Linked DNA regions of Bombyx mori. The protein of the gene in region 1 purifies or fractionates together with the protein of each later gene. This does not show direct contact. Links are inferred from orthologs where the notes say so. Each region holds a gene or a part of one and is shown on either strand. Other genes may lie near its edges.

Region 1 (6,406 bases):
GCAAAAAATCATAATTTAAACTTCACTGTGGATTGAGGACCTCTTCTTCTTAATTTGATACTGAAGAAAGAGGTCGAGAAGAAGGGGAGAAGTTGAAAAAAATTTCAATTCGATCTTGCTAAGGTAATTAACGTTATATATCAGACGCACCCCAGTTCGATAAAGCGGCACGACACGAGAACCCTCTCATCGTGGCCGCCGGTAACTACATTCCCGATCCTGCGGACAGAATGGAAAGCAGTCGACGTCGCCCAAAACACGTCATCTCGGATCCTCCCGATCCACTAACGGTGCTTCTAGGTACTTCAAGCACCGGTCACCGTTCTCGTCGAACTCGTCACTTGCGACGAAGGGCTCAACGAGTAAATTAACCCTCGGACACAGCCCACTGAGTTTCTCGCCGGATCTTCTCAGTGGGTCGCGATTCCGATCCGGTGGTAGCTTCTGCGAAGCACGGCTCTTGCTAGAGTTCATGTTAGCAACGTCGTCAGGTTTGAGCCCCGCGAGTACCTACTATAGTAGAATTATTTTGTCCGTGCAGTTTGGGTCATAAAACATAACCCGGCTAGGGCGGTGACCATGTTGCGCGGGCGCAAAGCCATTATCGATAAAAACAAATGAGTTATCGAAGGCTGGTACACAGCGGCGGGGTGGTATACGAAGGGTGGTGAGATATTGTTAGGTTATGAGTCACCTGCAAATTATAGTACATTATGTCGAAAAGAAATGTGTTTTTATGCATTCGTTATCTGAATTTCTTTAGTGACCCAATAGCTACTCCTTTGTTTTGTATCAAAACGGCAGAATTTATTCAAAATAATATTTGCACGTGTTGTTATCAACAATGTGTTAAAAAATTTCACTGAAATAAGAATAGTTCTCGAAAAGTTACAAAGTGTTAATTTTTGCCGTTCTCGTTAACTTGCTGCGGCGATATGTGGTGTAAGTGTTCGATTAGTGTTTTTTTTTTCATTTTTATCACTAACCCACCAAATGACAAAATTAAATACACTATCGATAACGCTTATCGACAACAATAATGCGCATCACTATGCCCGTCCATAAGGCTTGTGAGTGGAAGAGAGAGCGAAATACTCGCTGCACTGCTCCGATTTTTTATGACCCAAACTGCACGGACAAAATAACTCTACTATAGTTAAGGTTACGCTGAAATAGCCTCTCAAGGCTATCAGCTTAGGAAAAAAAAAGTCAGACGCATACATCTGCAGGTCGCGCGGTGCCCGATAGCGGCTCCTCTTCCTTCTTCATCTTCTATCTCTACTCAAATCCATACGTCGATTAAAGTTTTATCTTTAAAAAGGGACGTTTTTGTTGCATTATGAAAAGTCACAGAAGTGAAGTTAACTGAAATAATATTTTATGATTTGGTTGTTTCCAGATCCTCCGACCGGGAACAAGTTCACGTGCGAGTGCCGGGAGGGCTACGAGGGCGTGTACTGCGAGAAGCCGTTCTGCGAGGTGACGCCGTGCGTGCACGGGGAGTGCCGCGCCGACGCGCAGGTGGGGGGGGGGGCGCCGTGACGTATGAGCTCTGTCGAGCGCCTGTCGACATGCCATGGTTACCAGTGGGTGTGGTTGCAGGGCGTGCAGTGCGCGTGCGCGCCGGGCTGGACGGGCGCGCGCTGCTCGGAGGAGCGCGACGAGTGCGTGGGCCACTGCCAGCACGGCGGCCGCTGCTACCGGGACTCCGAGCACTTCCTCTGCGACTGCACCGCCACCGGTAACTGCACGCGCCCGCACGCACGCACATATACACACACACACGCACATATACACACACACGCACATATACACACACACACGCACATATACACACACACACGCACATGTACACACACACACGCACATATACACACACACACGCACATATACACACACACCCACATATACACACACGCACATATAAACACACACACACACATATATACACACACACCCACATATACACCCACACACACACACGCACGCACATATACACACCCACACCCACATATACATACACACACCCACATATGCACCCACACACACACGAACACACACACGCACGCACATACACATACATACACATACACACACACCCACATATACACCCACCCACACACACACGCACGCACGCACACACACTCACACGCACACACGCACGCACATATACACACACACACACCCACACGCACGCACACACACACACACACACACACACGCACGCACATATACACACCCACACCCACATATACATACACACACCCACATATGCACCCACACACACACGAACACACACACGCACGCACATACAGATACATACACATACACACACACCCACATATACACCCACCCACACACACACGCACGCACGCACACACACTCACACGCACACACGCACGCACATATACACCCACCCACACACACACGCACGCACGCACACACACTCACACGCACATACACATACATACACATACACACACACCCACATATACACCCACCCACACACACACGCACGCACGCACACACACTCACACGCACACACGCACGCACATATACACACACACACACCCACACGCACGCACACACACACACACACACACACACGCACGCACATATACACACCCACACCCACATATACATACACACACCCACATATGCACCCACACACACACGAACACACACACGCACGCACATACACATACATACACATACACACACACCCACATATACACCCACCCACACACACACGCACGCACGCACACACACTCACACGCACACACGCACGCACATATACACACACACACACCCACACGCACGCACACACACACACACACACACACGCACGCACGCACGCACGCACACACGCACGACCCGTCTCCCCCTACCGACGAACGGAACGTGTCCTAGTGTCGCGGCAGAAGTAGGCAGGGCCGTGGTCATGTAGACATTTCTTTTAAAAATGAGGAAGAGATCAGGCAACTCCGGGATCGAACCTGGACACGTCTCCGGGCGTACGGTCGCCTTATCTAATGTTGTTTACTTCCATGAATATTTAAACATACAGAATATTTTCTTTCATAAATATATTGGTTAATAAATATATTTACAGTTTGGTAATCAATATTTGAGGAATAAATACATTTTGATTTCATCAAATAAAGAAACCTGCTCATAGTTGTAGGTTTATCATTATACTGATCGATAAGGCGGCAGTTATCGCTGGCGGCCGCGCGCGGCTGATAGCAGCTGATAAACTGATAACGTTAACCACAAGCTCTCAAAGTTTTGCTCAAATAGAAATTCGCTCCAATAAAGGACCCACAAATTATTATCGGTTCCAATTTAGTTGTAATATATTTATTTCCTGGTCGGGTCGAGGAGGAAAACTAAGACGTTGCGAGGACGCGCGTAGTCACAATACATATTATATTACATATGTTGGTGATTCCGATACATGATATCGACGCTTGGAAGGCAAACGTGGCAAGCGACAATAACTACTTTGTACATAAATTATAGGCAATAACTATATTTGATGCGCAAAAAAAACATGCTTCTAGGTCTATTAAAATCATTTCAAGCCTATAGCTAGGTCCGTTAAAATATTTTTTTTTCAGGTATTTCAACTTTAAATTAGTCTACTGTAAAGTTCACGCATTGTCGCTTAGTCACGTTTGCCTTTCAAGCGTCGATATAAATAACATATATTAATGAAATAATTCCAAAGTTAAAATATGTAATATTATTCAAACCAAAGTAACACTTCCCATAGTACAAGAATATTTCAAAATGACATATTTCTTAATCATTAATAAATTTAGTATTCTATTTTATTAGGATGTTTATAGCGGGCTTTATATTCCAATAAAACACCTTAGATATATGTTAATATCTTTCCTAAACTAGTTCAAACTGTAGTTACGGCCGTCACGCGACAGAGAAGTCTAGATCTTACTCAATCCCATTGCAAAGGGAGAGGCCTTGCGCACTCGGATTAAATCAGTCTATTACCAGCTCTGATCACGAAGTAACGGAGCTCGCCATAGGAACTAGAGGGGCTCTGCTGCTGCCGTGACCACGTCACAAGTACGACAACTGGATATTAGACGATTGCGCCCCCCCGCGCTACCCACCCGTGTCCTCCGTAGCAGCCCCCCCCCCCGACGCCCCCCGCGCCCCCCGCCCGCGTGCGCACTTTGGGAGCCGCCAGCTCCGCGTCACCGTTGCCCGCGTCAGTTTGGTAAAGTGTGACACAACACTCTGACCTCTTAACACATATTTCCTGCTGCAAAAAGCGCTTGTACTCAATAAGTTTCGGAATTTTAGATTGTGACATCTAAAGAATTAATTATTGGATGAATTGGGATTAGGAGTGAAAAATGGTTTTGATAAATAAATTTGTTTCGTGATGTCAAATCAAAAATAATAATGACTACTGAAAATTTAAAAAGTACTTACAAATAAGTGTTAGATTTAGTAATGTTTTTAATAAAATCGAAATAAGGTTTGTGAGTGATGCGAATAATTGTGCAATGAACGTGCTATACGTGATGGAGAGGATAGTTGTCTTCGTGTTTGTGGCAGGTACGGACCCGCTCGGATTTGTACTGCGCTCCGCTATCTCATTACCTTAGCGTTAAAACATGAGCAAGCATCCGCGTCCACCCCGTGGACACGGTAACGAGCCGGCGCCGCCCGACTTGAGGCATGAGGTCGAACTAGAAATGCGCGTCTTGACTCATATTTTGAGTCTCACGAAAAACATAACGTTTTAGTCGATGAAAAAAATTAAAATTAAAACCTTGTCAAACATACAAGTTAATCTGGTTGCGCTTCAACAGAGTCCGACTTAACTGACTGGAGTGAACTGTAATTATACAGGGTGTGATAATTTAATGTATTAATGTTACGTTGGTCTGCGATCACATGTCTATTTGTAATTATCACGATTTTGTTGTTTTATCGGTGATAATTACAACTCATTATCGTTGCACTCGAACTTGTAAAATTAAGTAAAACAATACACAAAAGTCTCTAGAGTAACAAAAAATAATGCAGTTTGAGTGGGGTAAATAATTAGAATTAATAAAAAAGGGTCGCCGAGCCATGACGAACCGGACGCCTACCACCGCTGACATATCTACTGACAATAGTAAACGCCAAATTAAATCTTAAAAGTAGTTTACATGTTATTAGCCGATTTTTTATCTGTTCATGGAGAAATTCGTTTTGTTTATAGAGTTATGTTCAGGTGAGCATTCAAACAATGTCCTCCCAGACCCCCGGTCGTGGACCCTTCAGCTCGTTCATATATATCGACATTTTTATCATTACAAAAATCAGACTTTCCAACAGAGTTATTTTATTTACTCCGACTACTCCCCCGTGGAATATTATTTTTGGATATTTAATCCTTCGATAGTAGATTAGGGCCTCCCCCTGCTATGGGGAAACCCGCTTTACTCGTGGAGGAATTGTCTGTGAGGGTCCCATTATTGGCTGTTTTTTTGTTTACGGACGTATCACCGGCCGCCGGACCCACTGCGCCTACCCATCGTGCGTTTCCAGGGGTAATTTTTGGCACGCACCATCCGGCTTTAGAGTTAGTGATGTAATTTTATTCTGACGGAGGATATTGTGATCAGGCTGGACGGGCGCGCGCTGCGAGGTGGACGTGGACGAGTGTGCCGAGGGACTGGTCAGCTGCGGGCCCGGGGACTGCCGCAACCTCAACGGGTCCTACACGTGAGTAACCACATAATATACCCTAGTTGTTTGTTGTCTTCTGAAATCAGTTCAACCTTAGATCTGCGCGATCTCCCACCCGCTGTACTACCATCAACTGTTTATTTTCATAGATAATCTTTTTACTGAGCCGTAGATGGGAAGGTGTATAAAAAAATGGAAAATATGACATCAAAAATGACTTCGTCACAACGTAATTTTGAAGGTCCAGTGGGGGTGCGGGGGTAGAGGACGGGGCGGGGTACTTTTTTGTTTTTAATGGAATGATATTGAAATTTGATCGGTTGGTCGAGCGGCCGCCTCCTCGCGCGGCACTCGCAGTAGAGTGCATGTTGTTAACGCGGCATTGTGTGCGCGCAGCTGCGTGTGCGGGCGCGGCTACTGCGGCGCGGAGTGCGCGCTCGTGGACCCGTGCGGCGCCGAGCCGTGCCAGCACGGGGCCGTGTGCGAGCAGCGCTGCGCCCGCGAGCCCGACTACGTGTGCCGCTGCACCGACGGCTGGGCCGGCAAGAACTGCACGCAGCAGGTCCGTCGTAATACTATACATGCCCTGCGGGGAACGTCCGCACAAATTTTGGTGAAAAATTCTTATAATGACGTGCACTGTTGTGCTCTTTATTTAACATGAAATTAAAGTCTGCCTCACTCACAGGCCGTG
Region 2 (6,406 bases), on another chromosome or scaffold:
ATTCGTACAATCCTATTAGTTATATATTAAACATATATCATAATGGTTATGTACTAGTTTAATTTTTAATAATTTTGATTACTCTGTAATATGCCATTATTAGTCTAATCCGAGTTCATAGCTTTGCCACCGAATATTAGCGTTCATGTTGTTATATCTATGGGCGCTAGGAGCTTAACGAGTAAACCGTGACTTCCCATCGATGTACCAAGTTCAAAAATCTAACTTATTGGCGGTAACATCGTAAGCAAATTTTTATTAACCGTTTTTATTTTGTTAATAGTGTTTATTTTGTTCTCCTGAAGTCTCAGTCGGATCCCACCGTTTCCTGGAACACCTCATAATATTTCATGGAAAAAAAAAGTAAAAGAATCGCCATTACCTGCAATAGTAATCCCTAAGCCGTTCTCGTCTTTCTTCAGTTGAACTGTGAATCTATCAACTTCTGGTGATTCAGCATCTGTGGGAGTATTATTTAGTTCTTCAATAAACATCTATTATATTCGATATTCTATGTAATCGATTATGTTCGAACTTATTGTACGTGTGCAATTTACCTGAATCTGGAGGGGGTGTTATGGGATTGTCAAATACAAATCTCGTCGAAGTGGAGCTGACAGGCACAGGCTGCGTATGGAACACTTGCTCAAAACCAGCTTCCATGAGATAGCGATCCAGCGATTCGGGGTCTGACAAAAGCCTGAAATTATTTTATTATTATTACCCTTGTAGGCACACGGCCCCCCTTTTTTATTTTTTATTGCTTAGATTAGTGAACGAGCTCACAGCCCACCTGGTGTTAAGTGGTTACTGGAGCCCATAGATATCTACGACGTAAATGCGCCACCCACCTTGAGATATAAGTTCTAAGGTCTCAAGTATAGTTACAACGGCTGCCCCACCCTTCAAACCGAAACGCATTACCGCTTCACTACCCGCGCGGACTCACAAGAGTTCCTACCACCAGTCATTACTCAAATTAAAATTTGCGGGTTTGATTTTATGTGAGTGGGTATCATCGTTCAATGCCAGGGGCACAGTCAAACCGCTGCCAACGAGTACTCTTCTCCAGCCTGGTTCGAAGAAAGACATGTCATAGAGCTAAAATTTACACTATAACAGTAATACATTAGAAAATGTATCGAGTATGAAACACGTCTTCCAAAACTGTCTATACGGCTCGGTGAGTTAAAGTAGACATGAATTCACTAAGGCCCCGGTATGGCTGGTATACACAGGTGGCGCTGACCACTGTTTGTCTTTGACACAGCTTTTTTATAAAAAAAAGAGACAGGCATAGAGTGAAAGACTTCAGGTTTATTGCTTCTTGTTTTATTTTTCCGATGCACACAATATCAGAATTAAAACGTACAATGTGGTACAAGTGTGGTATAACGAAGTACCTGGCAGGCACGACGGGAGCGGGTGACGCATGCAAGGCCGCCGGATCCACTGCTCGCGCCACGACGAGCCTCACACGACTACCGGACGCACGTAGCACACCAGCTACTTGCTCGGAACCCATCTCCATAAGGCTTACCTGAGCGGATAATTCGAATGCATTTTAATGGATTGTTGATATTAAGTGGATACTGGAACCCGTAGACATTATTACGTGAATGCCATTTACGTTGTAGATGTATATGTGCTCCAGTAACTACTTAATACCAGGTGGACTGTGAGATCGTCCACCCATCTAAGCAATATAAAAAAAAAGCCCACACCTCGAGACATATTATTATGGTCCAAGTCTTACTTGTATCATACAATGGTTGTGTCATGTGACATCCTTCAAATCTGAACGAATTACTGCTTCGCGGCAGAAATAGGCGGAGTGGTTACCTACCCGTGCCGGCTCACCAATCGCCCAACCAATATTAAACTTTTAGTAAAGCGAATGGTGTGTGCAAAAGATAGTAAAATACAACATAAGTAGATACTTTCAACTGTTTGTAACACCAAACCTCTTCAAACTAAACCATTGCTTTGTTTTCTTTCATTTTCAAGAGTCATAGAGATTATTAGAACGACTTTTACGGTTTATTCCAAAATGACCATGAAAATTGTACATAAGTCCATACGTTGGAAATAATAAACCCAAAATTAAACTGTAAAAGTAATTTATACTACATATATAGTTTAAACAACTTAGGCAAATATTTTTTCCTTAGTTATTTTTTTTAAATGTACTAATGTTCTTTTGTTTTGAGTATTTACATCTCCAATCTGTAGAATGTGATCTCCAGATTTTAGTCGGCCATCGCGATCAGCTACACCACCTGCTAGTATCGTCTTTACAATGACACCACTTGTTCTAGCACCTATAATACCTGTGTAAAATTAAATGAATTGTGAGCGGCATAAAAAATCTCCTCAATTTCATTAAGTATAACAAAATTGAATTTGATGCATGGTAGTAATTATTATTAAAAAATTAACTTGAATGTTATTAACAACAAAAATACATTTCAAGGCACTCATTAATCTCTCGGTCGAATAAGTTTTGAACATAACTAATGCTCACCAAATCCAAGGCCAGTTCCATCATTTACAAGATTTATAATTTCAACTTGTGCCCAGTCCCCTGCTACTACGTTGTGATTGGTAGATGCTAAAGAATCATCATTACGAGACAAATCTAATAAGCCACGACTCTGAAAAACAAATTGAAATGAATTTATTGTGAATCATAATGCTCTCATGCTCTGTTTAGTACATTTTAGAAAAAGTAATAATAATAAATATTTACTAACAATCACGCCACGTTAACTGGTCCCGTGGTAAGTTCGTAAAAACTTGGAAAATCATAAAAACTTGGAAAACCATATTCACATTTTAAGAATATTTGTAGAATTAGAAAAACATGTGACTTTTGTAAAACATAGCATAAATAACAATTTAATCTTTACATACTTGTTTAGGAGACATGTTAGAGTCAACAGAGCCACTATCAAGTCCAAGAATATGTTCATTATCAGATCCAAACTCCATACTATGTGGAGGTGAGACCTGTGGCACCCTTTGCTCCTCTTCACCCTCTTGATTTCCATACAAATTTCTTGTTTGTAATGCCAAGTCACCTTTAGAGCAAATATAGTTATGTAGGAAAATTGGTTAGGTATAATAAGTTCCATATACAAAAAATGGGCAATATTTTAATCAGGATATTTTTTTGGTTAAAAACTTACCAGCAGGAGTAATATCAAAATCTCCAGGTAAAATTGATGGGTGATGTGCAACCTGAGTTGCAAGCATGCCCACAGAGTCATGAAGTGTAGTAATACTTCGTAATATGGGACTCTCTAATAAACTTATTAGCATGTTCAAATCATCACTGGTTGCAGCCTAAAATTTGCAATGAAAATATATTACATATTTGTGTCTATTATTTTTAAACTTTTATAATACCAAAAGAATAATTAAATATATCAAAGAATATTAGACATGAGGCTACATAATAGGGAACTGAACAGTTAAGGAAAAAGGCAACTACGTGCTTTTAATAATTTTCATACAAAGCTTCCATAACTTTGGTGAGCTTAACTTCATTATATTGCGAGATGTTATTTGTGGTCAAATAAATAATTACCCAACCACAAGCTGTACATAGGTATGAAGGGTAGTTAATATTTTTTATTTAAAATCTGTAATTAAAATTAAGCCTTTTTTTCCAAAAAACACAGGTTCATTAATATCACAATAGGACTACAAATGTAAATGTTTAAGTATGTTTTTTATAAATTTTAATGGTCTAAGGTTCTTCAATGATCATACTATGTAGCCCTGAAGGAGGCAGTTTTGATGCATCTTACCAAATAAAAATACAATACTTAATATATTTTTTCTTGCACTAATCATTAGCAAATAAAAGATTTAGAAACCAAAAATTCAAAGAACTAAAAGAATAACTTCAAAAATTTTAATAAAAAATTACTCAAGCCAAAATTCTTGTTAGAAAATCTGAGAAATTTTCCTATCAAATAAAAAGAGAATTTTCAGAGAATTCAATTAAAAGAGAAATTTTGCAGGAATCAAGTATATGTAAAATACAGGCAAGTTAAGAGCTTTAAAGTCTGTTAGATTATCTACAATCAGTAATCTGAACTATAATCTATAAGTATAATCTATAATTTTTCGTAAATATAATTTTTAAAAATAATCCTAGTTTAGCTGCTTTTTCATATCGAATCTTTGCGAATGTAAAAAAAAATCACTCTGAAACAAATTAATGCTTTATGTTAATCAACCTTGGGTCTTTGTTTATATTAAATAAATCATTTCAACAATGGTCACAAGCACAACAATGATTAGCCAAGGGCGGATCCAGGGGGGTGGTCATGGGGGTCATGACCCCCCCCTAAGCTAGTTCCAGGACCTAGGTGGACCACATATTGAACGTAATGATTTTAGAACACAATATATTGTTGCTCCTTATATTGCTCCTTAATTAATTTAATATAATATAATAACTTTGTATGATGGCAAATGTTTGGGAACGAACGCATCGAAAAGGACAATACCCAAAAGTGGGCCAACTTTACGTCAAAACTATTTGTACTTGAAAAACTATGCCTTATTTTTTCACGTTGTTTAGTTTATGTATCAACATTTCGTTCAACCTGGCATTGTTTTACAAAAAAATAAATTACTTATTTGATAACATCCCAAAACTTAGTGACATAGTTTTTAAATCCGCCAATAGGCAAAGGGCTTAGCCCATACAGCCTTATAGTAAACCTATATGCTGCCAAACGAAAGAGTTGTCTGTGACTTGAAAAAAAAACAAATAAAATTTTTTTAGCTAAGGTTATAATTCCCTTCCGTGCTCACTTTCAGAACCTGGTCCCTCGTTTGTTGGGGGTGGCCGGCGCGCTAAGCCGGCTTCTGCCCAACGTCGGGGGGCCTGACCAGGTGACGCGCCGTCTCTATACGGGGGTGGTGCGATCAATGGCCCTATACGGGGCGCCCGTGTGAGGCCAGTCCCTGGCCGTGGGGGTGGCGAAGCTGCTGCAACGGCCGCAACGCACCATCGCGGTCAGGGTCATCCGTGGTTATCGCACCATCTCCTTTGAGGCGGCGTGTGTACTGGCTGGGACGCCGCCTTGGGTTCTGGAAGCGGAGGCGCTCGCCGCTGACTATAGGTGGCGGGCTGAACTTCGTGCCCGGGGCGTGGCGCGTCCCAGCCCCAGTGTGGTCAGAGCACGGAGGGCCCAATCTCGGCGGTCCGTGCTGGAGTCATGGTCCAGACGGCTGGCTGATCCTTCGGCTGGTCGTAGGACCGTCGAGGCGATTCGCCCGGTCCTTGTGGATTGGGTGAATCGTGACAGAGGACGCCTCACTTTCCGGCTTACGCAGGTGCTCACTGGGCATGGTTGTTTCGATGAGTTCCTGCACCGGATCACAGCCGAGCCGACGGCAGAGTGCCACCATTGTGGTTGCGACTTGGACACGGCAGAGCATACGCTCGTCGCCTGCCCCGCATGGGAGGGGTGGCGCCGTGTCCTCGTCGCAAAAATAGGAACCGACTTGTCGTTGCCGAGTGTTGTGGCATCGATGCTCGGCGACGACGAGTCTTGGAAGGCGATGCTCGACTTCTGCGAGTGCACCATCTCGCAGAAGGAGGCGGCGGGGCGCGTGAGAGACGCACAATCCCGCCGCCGTCGAGCGGGGGCCAGGGAGGCGGATCTCGCCCAAGCCCTGGCCCTCTAAGTGTTTCGGGTCCCCCTCACATGTCGGTCTGGGGACCGGCGAGGGGGGCCTAAGAAGACGACGTGCAAGCTGCTCTGCACGCGTTTTACGCAAGAGCATCCGGGTGATGGAAGGCCGGCTATCCTCGACCCACGCTGGTTCTGGCCCAGCGGGGTATTCCGTAGGGTAACCCACTCTAACCGGCGCCATCTAGGCGGGCTTCGGACAGTCTGCCGACCGAGAGGGCTGGTGGTCGTGGCGCCGACGACCGCCAGTCCGGCGTCCCGAGGGGGAGGGTGATGGGAGAGATGTGCTCCGCACTAAACGCTTCACTTTCCCCCCTTTGCCTTGTCATGAGTTCTGTCTCATGCGAGGTTTGGACGTTGGTTGTTGAGCGACAGGAGGTTTTAGTCAGTTCGACTCTGACATACCCCGCCCAGTATCCCCAGAAAAGGGCGGAAGTCCGGCGATTTCTTCCTGACCAAAAAAAAAAAAAAAAAAGGTTATAATTCACAGACTTTTTTGTTTATTTTTGTTCAATTCAATATTTATATATTGTAATGTATCCTAATATATAAATTGGGTGTTGTTTGTGTATTAAATTTGAGGCATTGGAATAAAACTGTGGCTAACATAGCAGGGACTGTTTTTTTTTTTCAAGATAAAAGGACTGCGGAAATTCACGCTCACTCAATGTGCTATTCATCGAGATGACGTG

Evidence for each region.
Region 2: the proteins of protein crumbs (region 1) and patj homolog purify together in Drosophila melanogaster (affinity purification with western blotting; 7 studies listed by BioGRID, with this or other methods). This does not show direct contact. The link is inferred for Bombyx mori from reciprocal best matches to the Drosophila melanogaster genes crb and Patj.

The regions. Positions count from the first base shown.
Region 1 is NC_085121.1:445,763-452,168, forward strand, and holds part of protein crumbs, read left to right. Parts: intron 1-1,399; coding exon 1,400-1,521; intron 1,522-1,602; coding exon 1,603-1,741; intron 1,742-5,648; coding exon 5,649-5,748; intron 5,749-6,108; coding exon 6,109-6,274; intron 6,275-6,400; coding exon 6,401-6,406.
Region 2 is NC_085111.1:10,377,934-10,384,339, reverse strand, and holds part of patj homolog, read right to left. Parts: intron 3,346-6,406; coding exon 3,189-3,345; intron 3,081-3,188; coding exon 2,914-3,080; intron 2,655-2,913; coding exon 2,525-2,654; intron 2,331-2,524; coding exon 2,218-2,330; intron 1,541-2,217; coding exon 1,404-1,540; intron 701-1,403; coding exon 558-700; intron 461-557; coding exon 383-460; intron 1-382. UniProt on the Drosophila melanogaster protein: Involved in cell polarity establishment. Probably participates in the assembly, positioning and maintenance of adherens junctions via its interaction with the SAC complex.